3 linked regions of the Oryzias latipes genome follow. The protein of the gene in region 3 purifies or fractionates together with the protein of the main gene of each other region. This does not show direct contact. Links are inferred from orthologs where the notes say so. Each region holds a gene or a part of one and is shown on either strand. Other genes may lie near its edges.

The links. The genes of interacting proteins can lie anywhere in the genome.
Region 1: the proteins of timmdc1 (region 3) and ndufa13 purify together in Homo sapiens (co-immunoprecipitation; 3 studies listed by BioGRID and IntAct, with this or other methods). This does not show direct contact. The link is inferred for Oryzias latipes from reciprocal best matches to the Homo sapiens genes TIMMDC1 and NDUFA13.
Region 2: the proteins of timmdc1 (region 3) and ecsit purify together in Homo sapiens (affinity purification with mass spectrometry; 3 studies listed by BioGRID and IntAct, counting the BioPlex papers as one, with this or other methods). This does not show direct contact. The link is inferred for Oryzias latipes from reciprocal best matches to the Homo sapiens genes TIMMDC1 and ECSIT.

The regions. Positions count from the first base shown.
Region 1 is NC_019875.2:22,789,956-22,794,190, forward strand, and holds ndufa13 (NADH dehydrogenase [ubiquinone] 1 alpha subcomplex subunit 13), read right to left. Parts: upstream 2,804-4,235; 5' UTR 2,752-2,803; coding exon 2,658-2,751; intron 1,350-2,657; coding exon 1,271-1,349; intron 1,203-1,270; coding exon 1,131-1,202; intron 1,052-1,130; coding exon 982-1,051; intron 552-981; coding exon 432-551; 3' UTR 316-431; downstream 1-315. UniProt on the Homo sapiens protein: Accessory subunit of the mitochondrial membrane respiratory chain NADH dehydrogenase (Complex I), that is believed not to be involved in catalysis. Complex I functions in the transfer of electrons from NADH to the respiratory chain.
Region 2 is NC_019876.2:29,030,315-29,034,418, forward strand, and holds the start of ecsit (evolutionarily conserved signaling intermediate in Toll pathway, mitochondrial), read right to left. Parts: upstream 2,804-4,104; 5' UTR 2,583-2,803; coding exon of another isoform or gene 2,558-2,582; 5' UTR 2,527-2,557; exon of another isoform or gene 2,017-2,526; intron 927-2,016; exon of another isoform or gene 919-926; 5' UTR 832-918; intron 691-831; 5' UTR 629-690; coding exon 497-628; intron 1-496. Other genes in the region: eml3 (echinoderm microtubule-associated protein-like 3), read left to right, coding at 2,558-2,582.
Region 3 is NC_019860.2:16,689,683-16,693,764, reverse strand, and holds the start of timmdc1 (complex I assembly factor TIMMDC1, mitochondrial), read left to right. Parts: upstream 1-1,275; 5' UTR 1,276-1,440; intron 1,441-3,275; 5' UTR 3,276-3,296; coding exon 3,297-3,577; intron 3,578-3,743; coding exon 3,744-3,909; intron 3,910-4,082.

The sequences.
Region 1 (4,235 bases), on a different chromosome or scaffold from region 3:
AAAAATGTATCTGTAAAGCTCCACATAAAATAATACAGTAGAAGCCTTAACTGATCCTGAGTTACTCAGTCTTTTTAACCCTTGTGCTATCTTAGATGACCCCACCCTTACAATGACGTGTTCTCCCTACCATGACAAAGGTGGAAAGATTTCATGTAATTCATGGACACCAGTGAACATCACAAATCATTGAAGAAAAAAGGTTCAGAGCACTGTCTATTGGGTCTAGATGACCCAACTCCCAATGTTAAAGTGCCTAGGATAGCACAAGGGTTACAGAAGAAGAAGAAAAAAAAAAAAGAGAGAAGCTGAGATGGGGTACGGAAAAAAGATACTTTATTATTGAACATTTACAAGCTGAAGGAAAATACAGGTCCACGTGCTCTTGGCTGTGGAGAGTGGTGGAAACGAGGACACGCTCCTTCTGGTGACTAAACGTACCACAAGAAGCCAAAACGCTTGTGTAGAAGCTCTTCGCGTGGCCGGAGGTGGAAGAGCTCCTCTGTCAGAGGGGTGGTCCAGCGATCTGTGTGGAAGACGCTCTCACCCACCTGCAATAGTTACAGAGCAAAAAATAAAAAGAAAAACATGTTTATTGGCCTCTGGAGGTTTTTAACCGGATTAAAACTGTCAAAGAAACATTTTGAATATACTTGGACCATTACTTCTGCCATTAGGTTCTAACTATCTCTTTGGTATCATTGTAAACTTTGAAATAAACAAAATCACAAAAAATTGATTTAAATTTCTGAGATTGGATGTTTGTAATATCTGTATAAAACATGCTGTCATTGTTAAGGTATAAACAATTTTTTTTTTTTAGTTCTTATAATATTTATGTATAATTGAAGTGCAGACCTTCATTTTTGCTTGATATGTTTGTCATTTGTAGATTAAAAATGACTATCCCGGTAAATTTGAGATAATTTCTATTCATTTTCTTATAGGGAGTACTTAAAAAAGCATCAGGGACCCCTTTACCTTCCATCCTGGCACATCTTTCATGACGATTGCTTCCTCTTCCAGGTTTTCTCTCAGCATCCTCAAGGTCCTGGAGAAATGCAAATACAGTTGTTACACACAAAGACCGTTCTCCTTTTTCGAGCGTTTGGAAGAGATTCCAGCATCACCTTCGGTCTTGTTCTGCTTGTAACAGAGGCAACAGAGCTATCCGTGCTTCCAGCTCCTCAATCTGCAGTCGCCTATAAAACACAATGGCTGCTGTAACCTTCACAACACCCCGTCCAAGGAAATGCATGACGTCTCCTACCTCCTTTCTCTGTTCCAGCTGAATAGTCTCCAATATCCAAACACCATGATGCCGATGCCAATGCCAAACATACTGTATCCTAAAATGTAAAGAACAATGAATTAATTCTCTACATTTTTTCAAAGCTTTTGTGTTTTTACAGAAAAACATGAAGTATCATAAGGCAAGTGATGGTTAAATATCAATTTCCATCTTGAAGGGTGGACTTAGAACTTTGTGCTGGTCCGGGGGACCCTGACACCCGCCTTTAGTAATACAGCTATACACAGAGATGACTGGGGGTCTTTTTAGTGCTAACATGTTTTCCTTTAGTACCTCTTTAATCAATCTTTCATTGATTCAGTTACTAATTTCTCTCTTTTGATTTATACATCGTGTTTTTTTCCCCCTCATTCTTTGACCCCCAGCTGGTCCCAGTAGATGGTTGACCTTCAGAGTCTGGCTTTAAGAAAATCTGGAAATATTTGAGTGAATCTGTTGGCCAATAAACTGATTGAAAAGTCTAACTTTTTTGTGTCATTCAAAATATAAATTTTAACTACCTCAGTAATGGATTATGTCTGTTTTATAGTTAAATATTTTGATATAAAACAGACCAGATAATTGTTACATATAGTCTGATAAATATTGGTAAACTGATGCTTTTGTTGTTTACTATTAGAATTGCAATATTATTAGGTATGATTGTATAGCTTTCAGCTCCGTAACTGTTAAAAAGGCAAATTACAAATCATAATAATATTCAAACAAAGGCATTAGTAAGTTTAGCACAAAACCTAAGAAAATGTGGGTTAAAAAGATTTGTTTTATGATTTCTTCTTGGCAATGAACCCAGTACTGATAATTCCCTATTACATTGCCTAAAAATAATAATCATTTTATTTATCACCAAAAACGATTATTATAATAAATAAATTAAATGCAAAAGACATTTGTTGTGCTATGTATGTATGTTTAAAAACTGGATTTAAACCAAAAAAAAATTATTACACAAAATCTGTCTTCTTTTAGCCTGACAGTAAACAGTTTTGTGAATATTTATTGCGCATTTGCCGTAATATAATAAATATTTAGCTGACTTTAGTCTTGACCTAACAGCAAAGATGTGCTGGCTAGTAGTTAGCATGCGGTTAGCATTGCTGTTTATAAAAAAAAAAAACCTAACATCTTAAAACGCTATGGGCATTCTAACAAGACAGTGACAAAATTAGAACTTAGTAGATGAGTCAATGAGTAAAACCAGCTACTACACTTGCTTTGTGTTGTTACGATTATTACTCCAGTATGCTAGGTAGTTAGCTTGCGCGGCTAATTCGTAAAGTAGTGTCATTTTAACACCAACAAAAGTCTAAAAAGCTGTCGAGTAGTGTGTATATTATGCATGTACCCGAAAGTCCTCGTTTCGGTAGGTTTCTCTTGTAATCAAAGGCGGCATAGCCTCCAGGAGGAGGCATGTCCTGCTTCACCTTGGACCCCGCCATCTTCCTCCGGCCTCCTCCACTACACGGTCAGTGACGTGAGTGAAGATTCTTCTTCTCGCAAAATGAAAATCCAAGAATGACTCTCTACCGCCCCCACATGTCAGAATTGAACAATGTCATGCGTTTGGCACTTCGTCGGACCATATTTTGTACATATTCTTTTTGAATAGTATATTTTTAAATCTATTTTTTGAAGAAGAGAAACATCAATTATTTGTGTTTGTCAGACACAAAAAAAGTAATTTGATTGATGTCAGAGGCAGAAATAAATGTCTAAAGAACACAATCGTGATGCAGAAGCAATAATATTGATATTCAATATTTTCAAGCACACTTTGCATTTTATTTTTCTCTTTTAATTACACAATTTTATACATCTTCATAAAAAATCATTATGTCTCATATCATCCATTTTCATTTGGATTTATTTTAGAGTAGTCTAGAAAAATATCCAACCTTCACTAGGGTTTAGGTTGACTGAGTAAGCTCTGCTGCATTCCTACTGTTTAGACTTGAACTATATTGTCAGAAGTATTCATTTGTCCATGCAAATAATTGAATTTATATGTTTTAATTACTTAATCAGCTAAAAATATGGGAAATCTTGCACACAGATTTGTGCTTTTGAAAACATTTGTGAAAGAATAGGCCGTTTTCACGAGATCAGTGAATTCCATCTAGTGTGCTACTGTGAAAGGATTCCGGCAGTAAAACGATTGCAACTACCCCGTTCCCTCCTTTTTAAATATTACATTCAACTGAGTGATATTGCATTAAAGGACACATTTAGCGTGACCATAATTCAGCAGTGGAATGGTAATTACGTAAACTGACACTTTCTGCAGTCAACACCTGCAGGACTGCAAACTTTGTGAAATCTTCCTCTTAGCTCAAGAGCAGCAAAAACATTTGTTTTTATTGCAGAGTAACAGCACCCAGAGGCAGAGGTGTAGTATTGTAAAGCAAATTAAGCAGGATCATCCTTCTCCATCTAGAATTTGATGGATGAGTTTGACAGTTTTAAGGAGAACTATATTTATCTGACTGTAAAATCCCAAATGTGGAGTTTGGATTACCCTTGCAGTAAATGCTTCAGTTTCAAAGACAGGCGGGGAGGCTTCTTCCTACTTTAATACAAATTTCAGCACACAAAGAAGGTTCAAAAAAGTCAAGGATGGGGAAGAACTTAACAGAGGATACACAAGACCTCTGACCACTTTAACAAAGTACATGAGAGATGAATCAGAGCACCATCATTTCATGCAGCATGTACTCTCACAAATATGTTCCCCACTTTTGAATATTCACATTTTCTGAACTTTGCTGACTCTCCACTGCAAACCCCCTCACCCACAAAAGCAGAACTCTTAGTAAGAATAGAGTAACGTATAGAGCAAGAAAACTGAGGCCGGCCAATAAATCCTTTAAATAAAGAGGATCATCGGCTGCCCTCTCCCATTCCTGGAAGAACTGTACAGTTCCCA
Region 2 (4,104 bases), on a different chromosome or scaffold from region 3:
TTTAACTGAATTGACAGCAGAACTCCTGTCACTACCGTTGTATAAAAACAGAGGGAGATCCAATTAAATCTGTTAAAACATATTCATGTGGACAAACATCATATTCTAATTTTATTCTAAACTGAGTCTTTTGCACCTTTTACACTAGTTCTTTGTCACTGTAATCAAAAGTAACAATACAAATACAAGAACCTCACATAGAATACAATCCATTTGCTTAAAAATAGCAAAACAAACATTTAATTTGAAATAATTCTACTTTTTTTTTCCTTTTATGAACGTTTGATTGGAACCATTTGTAACTTGATTGACATATTTGTATTGTGAAAAATCATTGATCATTAAAAATGAATCGCTGGAAAGAAGCGATTCCTGTTTTCAGGAGGTAAAACACAGACGGGACCTTTGATCTCGGACCTGTCACTCACACAGACGGGACCTTTGATCTCGGACCTGTCACTCAGGGCCCGTCAGGAGGGGGTGGGCCGGAACTCACCCGGTGCTGCTGTGGGTTGCTCCGCGCGGCGCGCGGACCGTGGGGTTCTGGCTGGAGGACCCGCGCCGTCTGCCACGAGCATCGGAGCAGCCGCAGATCCTGCAGCCGCTGTAGGCAGCGGGAAACCTTCATGGTGGAGCCATGAAACCCACCGTCCAGATGGTAGATCCACACAGACAGACAGACAGCGACGGCTATCGAAAGAAAGACGGACTCAGGGAGGTCTGAGCGCGTGCCAGGATCACAAGCACCAAAATGTCTCCCACTAGTTATCAGTGACTCCCGGAAGAGATTAAAAAATGAAGCAAAGTGACAAGAAAACACTCAAAACACACCTGAAAACGAGTCTCCTTCAAAACAACCACACGGCGGCAGCTTACCGGGGAACCAACGTCCTCTGTCCGGCACCTTTTTCCTTCCCCCTCACAACAGAGAAAAACAGCAACAATCGTTCCGCAGGTCCGGAGAAGAAAGTTCCGCGCTGTGCTGCCCGGTGATTTTAGACAGAGAAAATGTAAATATTTGTTTACGTAAATACTAACCGTTCTTCCTAACATAAAATACGTCTTAGCAGCAGCAGGAAAAGGCAGAGAGGTGCAGAGATTCAAACCCCAAACCCTCCTGTCAAGGCTGGTGGCAAGTGTTCAACCAGGTGGATTTTAATGTGACAAAAGCTCAGCAAGAGGGAAGATAAATAAATGTCATTCATAAAGTAATAGTGCCCCCCCCCAAAGCTAGTCAGGAGAGGCCTCCAAAGTTTAGTAGAGAAGAATTTAACTTAGAAAAAAGTGGAAAGCCGTTAAAAAAACAGGTTTGCTTTGATAGTTTTGAGGGAAGTTTTATCAAACGATAATTAATGCAATAATCGTTGAGCACTAAATGTTTGAGTAATATTAATTTCTGGAATGTTGTCATGTCTTTTTGTCAGAAGTTACAAACTAGAATATGATAAATATGTAAAAACAAGTTAAATAAAGCACAATAGGGGTGGGTTTATGTTCATTAGCTTTCTCTTACTCCTCAAATAATTAAACTCTTTTGGAAAATAAATTTTAATTTAATAGGTTTAATATGTCGTGTATTGTTTATATAAGTGCAAATATTTATGATTAAGAGTAACTATAAAGGAATATATGTTTGCAACTGTTTTTATATGTTTTACTTTTTAGATTTTTTAATCACTTCGTGACAAATCAGCTTGAGTTTGATATACTTGATCTATACATAAATGTCTTTTGTTTGTCTTTTCGGTTTTGATCGCTTGAAATAAATCAAATCCAAACGGCCTTTTTATTTGTGTATTGGGCCTTTATTTTGGAAGGCTGGACCAGAGAAATGGTTCATAGAATTTAATCTGTTTTTTAAACCAAGAAACTGTGATGTAACTATTGTCAGAAGAGCCCAAAAATGGGATTTTTATTCATTTCTCCTTGATGTGAAATCTGTCTGATGCATTCAGATATTATCTGATCCTCCTGTCTGTTTACCCAGCTGCAGGGAAGGACAATGGGGGGGAGGGGGGTAGTCGGATTGTGTTTTGGGAGTTTGGTTAAGTCTGGTGAGGCTGAACGTGGTCATGTGATCCTCCCAGCGGCGGACATCAAACGGGATCAGCAGCAGCAGATGCTTTATTCAGCAACATGCAGTTCCGGATGACGCCACGCGGGGGCGACAGAAACAGCGGCGCTGAGGCAGCAGCAGGCATCGCCGCGCTGCATGAGCTGAAAACTCCACACTAACATTTTTCGCTCTGGCTGTCAGCGTCCGGGGGGGTTTCTGGGGCTGGGGGGCTGCAGCACTGACATGACAGCGGTATGTCCCGCTGATGGATCCCTGTGAGTTCTGCTGTCAGTTTGGGAGTCGGTAATCCGGTTGCAGGGCTCGCGGGGTTCCTCCTGGCGCGTGAAGCGCGCGGCTGTGAGCGGCATTCACGTTTCCGGTGTGCTGCAGCGCCCGCAGTTGACTGGAGCCTTTGTGAGACACTCCCGCGTGAGCATGGAAAACACACCTTAAAGTATAAAAACACAAACCTTTGGCCGCACCGCGCCTCTCAACCGGATCATGGACTCCTCCACCAACAGTCTGGGTGAGTAGTTCTGCTCCGAACCAGCCGAACTTTAGCGCCAGCCCCGCTGCTTCTGACTGACTGGTTCCGATCCACTGCTCCTGCGGGGAGCAGTCATCCTGGAGTTTTTTTGTAAATGTCCGGTTGGTGGAGGACTTCAGAACATTTGTTTGGGTTCTGTTCACAACTTTCTCTTTCCGTTTCTTGGCTCCGGTTCGGTTCTGACAGTAGTTGGTTTGTCTTCAGCCCGCTTTTCACCTGCAAACGGCCGCGTAAAGCTCCGCGTCGAGCGAGGCGCAGAGATGTGTGCCGCGGGCGCAGCGCCGTGCGTGGGTGTGCGGGGCTGAAGTCATATTTGCGGTTTGGAAGCAGCGCTTTATCTCATGACCTGAAGGCGGTTCTGAGGAATGCCTTCACTTTCGGATCAGCAAACACGGCCCGGATGACAGCAGCGGGTCGGGCTCCGCTCCACGGGACAGACAGAAGCGGCTTTTGTTGCACATCTGGGGCCTCTGCGGGGCCTGCGGGGCCCTTCTGTGCTGATGCCTTAAACGTCTGGGAACGTCTCGTGCGCTCAGATTCCCGCAGCTTTCATTTGGAGGCTCTTAGATTCAGCTGGAGGCGCTTCTTGTTTCCGTTTTTGCATCAATGAGCTGCAGCTCCTGCAGAACTCTGGCTGAAGGTGTCAGGAGCAGCGGAGACCCCACCTGAGGATGTGGACTTCCCCTATAGGCCTCATTCTGTCCATCACGTCTGTCATCCTCCTCCGTTTAGACCAGAGTACTGACTGTACAACAGAAATAACGTCAAAATACCTCGATGGGTGTGTACTCCAATCCACTCATCTTCTTCTCTTCCTTTGGGTGTTTCCCTTCAGGGTCTCCACAGCCAATCAGCTTCCTCTGTCTGTCTCCTGCATCCTCTACCAGCAGCTACCTTCATGTCTTCCTTCATCCAGAGTCCTCCTCTCTGGTCTTCCTCTAGACTCAGCATCCTTCAGTCTGTCCTCTGGACATGTCCCAACCATCTCAGTCTTACCTCTAACGCAGGGGTCCCCAGACTTTTCAGAGACGTTTCCATCCTCTGATGGGGGCCGTGGTCAGTTTGAAACAGAGAAAGTGTGACAGTCGCAGGGGGGCCTAAATGTAAACTGAGAGCCACACAGAACCAAATGTTAACAAGCCGATCTGTTACTAAATAATCCTCTCTGGGTTCTTTACATAAAAAGTCAGTAAATATAAAGTAACAGTATTTTAGATTTTAGAAAATCAATAATAACCACATAAATCTCTGTAGTTGTTCACAGAAATAGAGCTTCTGTTGTCCGTGCACAATCTCAGGTTCAACTTCAGTTGTGGAGCAGAATCTCCTAAATGACTCATGTGATCAGTCTCTTTAGGTTTTTGTGTTCTTTCCTTATAATCCAGTCTTGGATGTTTCCAGGAGGCTCGCCTATAAAACCCTGTCTGCTCTCTCTGATCAACTTCCTAAGTTCAATGCAGTAGCAACATTTTTGGCTTGGCTCACATTTCAATTCAAATAA
Region 3 (4,082 bases):
ACTGCAAAGAGACACGATTATGAAGTGCAGTTGAAACTGCGAGCTATCAGCTACGCGGAGCATCATGGGAATTCAAGATGAATGAATCCATGGAGGAAGCTGATAAACTCTGACAAGTCAAGAAGAAGCAGCTGAGTTTCTGCGGAAACAAGGATTACCACAAAAACATGCTAATCCACGTTACATCTGCAGGTTTTTTTAATTCTAACAAAGTCCGCCGTATTTTAGATGCAAATTTCGGCCAATCGGATCAACCAGAAAGGTTACCGCCCCCTGAACACTGTGCGCAGGAGCGCCGCTCAGTCGATGCGGGGTCGCTCGGTCAGCATTGCGCTTGCGCGGTTGTGAGGTTTGCTAAAGTATGGAAGCATTTGTGTAGCATCATTAAAAATAAAAGTCAAAACCATAAACGCTTTTTTCATTTTCCGAATGAAGCTGCATTTTTTTTTCACTCGCTCAGTTATCTTTGTGCTTCATGGCAGCCATGTATGTAGCCATTAAACATCATACATGAGTTTAAAAAAACATCATTGAGCTTTTAGTTTATAACAAGCCATTTATCCTTCTTAAACGGTCAAAAGACGTTACCGACAGAAATAAAAAATCTATAAATAATAGGTTATATATAATCTGGACCTAAAGTTAGTATGAAATCTTCCGTTGTGCTTGAAATTGTATTAAAGTCAATTTGCACTTCCCACAAAGTTCTATTTTACAAAAGTAGAAAAGTCTAGAAAAAGTCTATTAAATCAGTTATAAAAATAAACAACCGTGTATATTATTCTTTTTTTTTCTTATTAAAGAGCTCAATTTTAATAGGAATTAATTGTTAAAGCTATCTAGAGTTGAAACACTAGCAAAGACAGCAGCAAGTTTCATTCTGACCTGACCTAAAAAGCTAATTCGTGTTGGGTTTTTTTTATTTAAAAGTGACTAAAATAATACTTTTCGGTTTACAATTAACTCAAAAGAACTTAGTATTTAGATCTATAGTTTTCCTACTGCAGGAACTTGTTTAATTTTTTCAGGTTTGTGTACTGATTTCAACATCACGGCGGTTTTTAGCAGAGTTTTCAATAAATAATTCAAAAGCATTTCATACTTTGATATCAAACTGATTAAAACACGTTTTATCATAAAAGTCTATGCAGGTATTTTCTTTTTATTTCATTTTTGCTGCCACGTATGAAAACTGATTGATTTCTCCAGTTTATTTTATACTTAGTCCTCCTAGCCGCAGGGGGCGCTGGCCACGATTGAAGTGCGCATGACAGCAGACATGCGCAGATGTGGGTTCTGCCTGCCAGCTCTGAGTGGAATGAGTGAACCCCTGAAGGAAGGTTATGGAAAGACAAACACATTAATGTGTTTAAATTATAGTTTGTAATTTACAAAGACTAACGCCCCTTTGTGGCGGGATTTCAATTGTAGCCGCTACTGGTAAGATTCTCTTTAATGCTGAAACTAAGAGTTAAATAAATGCCAGCCAATGCTAGCAAATGCTAACAATTAGCTCTATTAAAACTAATTTAAAAATCAATTCAACATTTCCGAGGCATTTTAACTTAATTAAATGTTAGTTTGTGGTTTTGTCGTTCGTTTGAGGAGCCTTTTCTATTTATTTTTTGGATATAAAATGTAACAAATTGGAGTTAAACCTCATAAACCCTTTTTGACTAATTTTAGGTGAAACATTTTGGAGCTTTTTCTCCAAAAATACTTGGGCAACGGAAGTAATTAAGCTAATAAAATGTGGAAATAGAAAAAATAGGTCAGTTTGTAATACTACACTGGCTGAAAATAAAGAAAACAGCCAAAATGGATACAAGTTGATTAGCTGGCAGTGTTAAATGTTCTTCTTTTTAGTAATTTGGTTTCCCTCTTAGTTTCATAGATTCTTAGCCTTCATGTTTTCCTGCTCCAGTACAAACACTGAGCTGATTGGTCAGTATTAGTTTCAGGTGTTTCTTAAAGCAGGAACTCAGGTAAAGATAATGCCCAGATATATTAGTGAAAATCACCTGTTTACTTTATTAAGGCAGATATTGTAAAAACATCATAGTATCATTCATTTCTGTCAATTAAAACAATAAATTCAAATATTTTAATGTCTTCAGAGACGTTTGGGGCGACTCAAATTAATCTTTAATGATGTGAAAATCAACTTTCTTTTTTTCCCCTCTAAAAACCATAAAATAATCCATAATTCTTGCTTTAAATGCAACCTTTTCAAATGTCACTAACTTTAAAATAATGACTAAACGAGGCTCCTGCTCGGTTTTCTGAAACCTTTACAAAATCAAGTGAAAATTGCTCAATTTGTGCTAATTATAATTACAGTTTTTACTAATACAGTTATTTTATTTGTTTACTCTGGAATCTTTTCACCTCCTTTTAGGAACTATTATGTCAAAAATATATTTTAATTATTTTTAAACCAAATTATGTTTTAATATTCTAAATAGATCTGATATATAGTTATTTATTTCATTTTTTATTTTTAAATCTTATTGATGAATTTGGCTGAATTGAACCAAATCACAGAATTAAAATCAACATGTAAGAGGTTGCTGTTACCCCATTTGGCCACCAGAGGTCCCTGTTTAATTTGAACCGTTGCCAGCCATTTGAAGCTTCATGCATCCTTGAATGTTCAGTTTTTTCCCCTTTTCAGTTGATATTCTGTAAAAGGGTAATTTTCTGCATTTTAAAGAAAATGTTTTTTGTCTTATTACTTATTTTCTTTGATGCGGTGTGGACTCTTCAGATCTAAATGTTAAATTTTCATCATAGGATTTACTTCAGGAAAACAGTTTTTTCACCCAAATTTTGTTTTTGCTGTAATTTTTTCTTTTACTATGGGTATATTTGCTAAAGCATGAAAACAGAGGGCATTTATTTTTGTTTATTTTGATTATTTATTTTAAAATCTTCAATACAGATATAAGGAATGATTTGTATGGCTGCTTTTCTTATTTATTTTATGAATGATAATTTTATGTTTTACTTATTCAATGTAAAATATGTTTTTACTCTGCTAAAAAGCAGAGTAGAATGAACCAAATTCAATAGATCTTTTTAATGTTTACCTTTTAAGCGGATAGCGTGAGGTTTCAGCCTCTTTACTCTTGAGTGTTTTGGCCGCCGCCTTTTCCAGCTGCTGAGTTTTGGACGCCGTGTGTGTTCCTGCCAGCGTTTTGTTTGCCCCCCAGCTGTTTGTTCTGAGAGTGCAGCCTTTCAGCCCACAACCATGTGTTTGTGAATCCCCACTGAAGCCTGGCGCCAGCTGAAGTGCGATGCGTCCAGATCAGCCGCTCAGACGGCGGGCAGATTCGCCTCCCCAGGGCGCGGCGAGCACCGGCCCGCCGCGGGGCTCCATCCGGACTGCGAGGCCTCGTTTTTTTGTCTGCTGCCTGCTCCCGAGGGTCCATGCAGCTGACATGACTGCTGGCCAGCATGCACAGACGTGCTCCTCCTCCTCCTCCTCTTCCTCGACCAGCACCCTGCCAGCTAACATTAGGAAGCCAGAACTTCCCGACACAGGATGGGGGCGCATCAGGGATCTGTTTGACAGAAAGTTTGTCTCCTTTTCTTTCCTCACATCTGTTTAATAAACACCTTTTAACATTTTAAACACATCTTCAGCATCAATTACATAAATGATAAATGAAATAAATGTAAATCAGACGCATTGTAACCCCTTCTGAACGTCTCGGGTGTCAAACTTGTGGGTCTCCCTGCAGTGACGTACAATCTTACCCGGAGGAGCTGACCAACCTGATCAAGCACGGGATCATCGGCGCCACCGCCGGCCTCCTCTACGGAGGCATCCCAGCTGCTCGCTTCGCCCGCCAGCGTTATATCCAAGTGAGCCAGGCGGAGTTGTACACCAGCCGAGTGGATGCAGTGGTAGGTTGATGTTCCCGATCAGTAGGCTTTTATTTTCTAAACTTTAATATTTGATAAGACAATTGACTTTATTAGCTTTTGCAGAGCTATGAGAACATTTACAGACCCTCTCTGGTGCAAATGGTGTGTTGAACATGTTCTTATGACATGTTTCCTCATGATAGAGGACATAT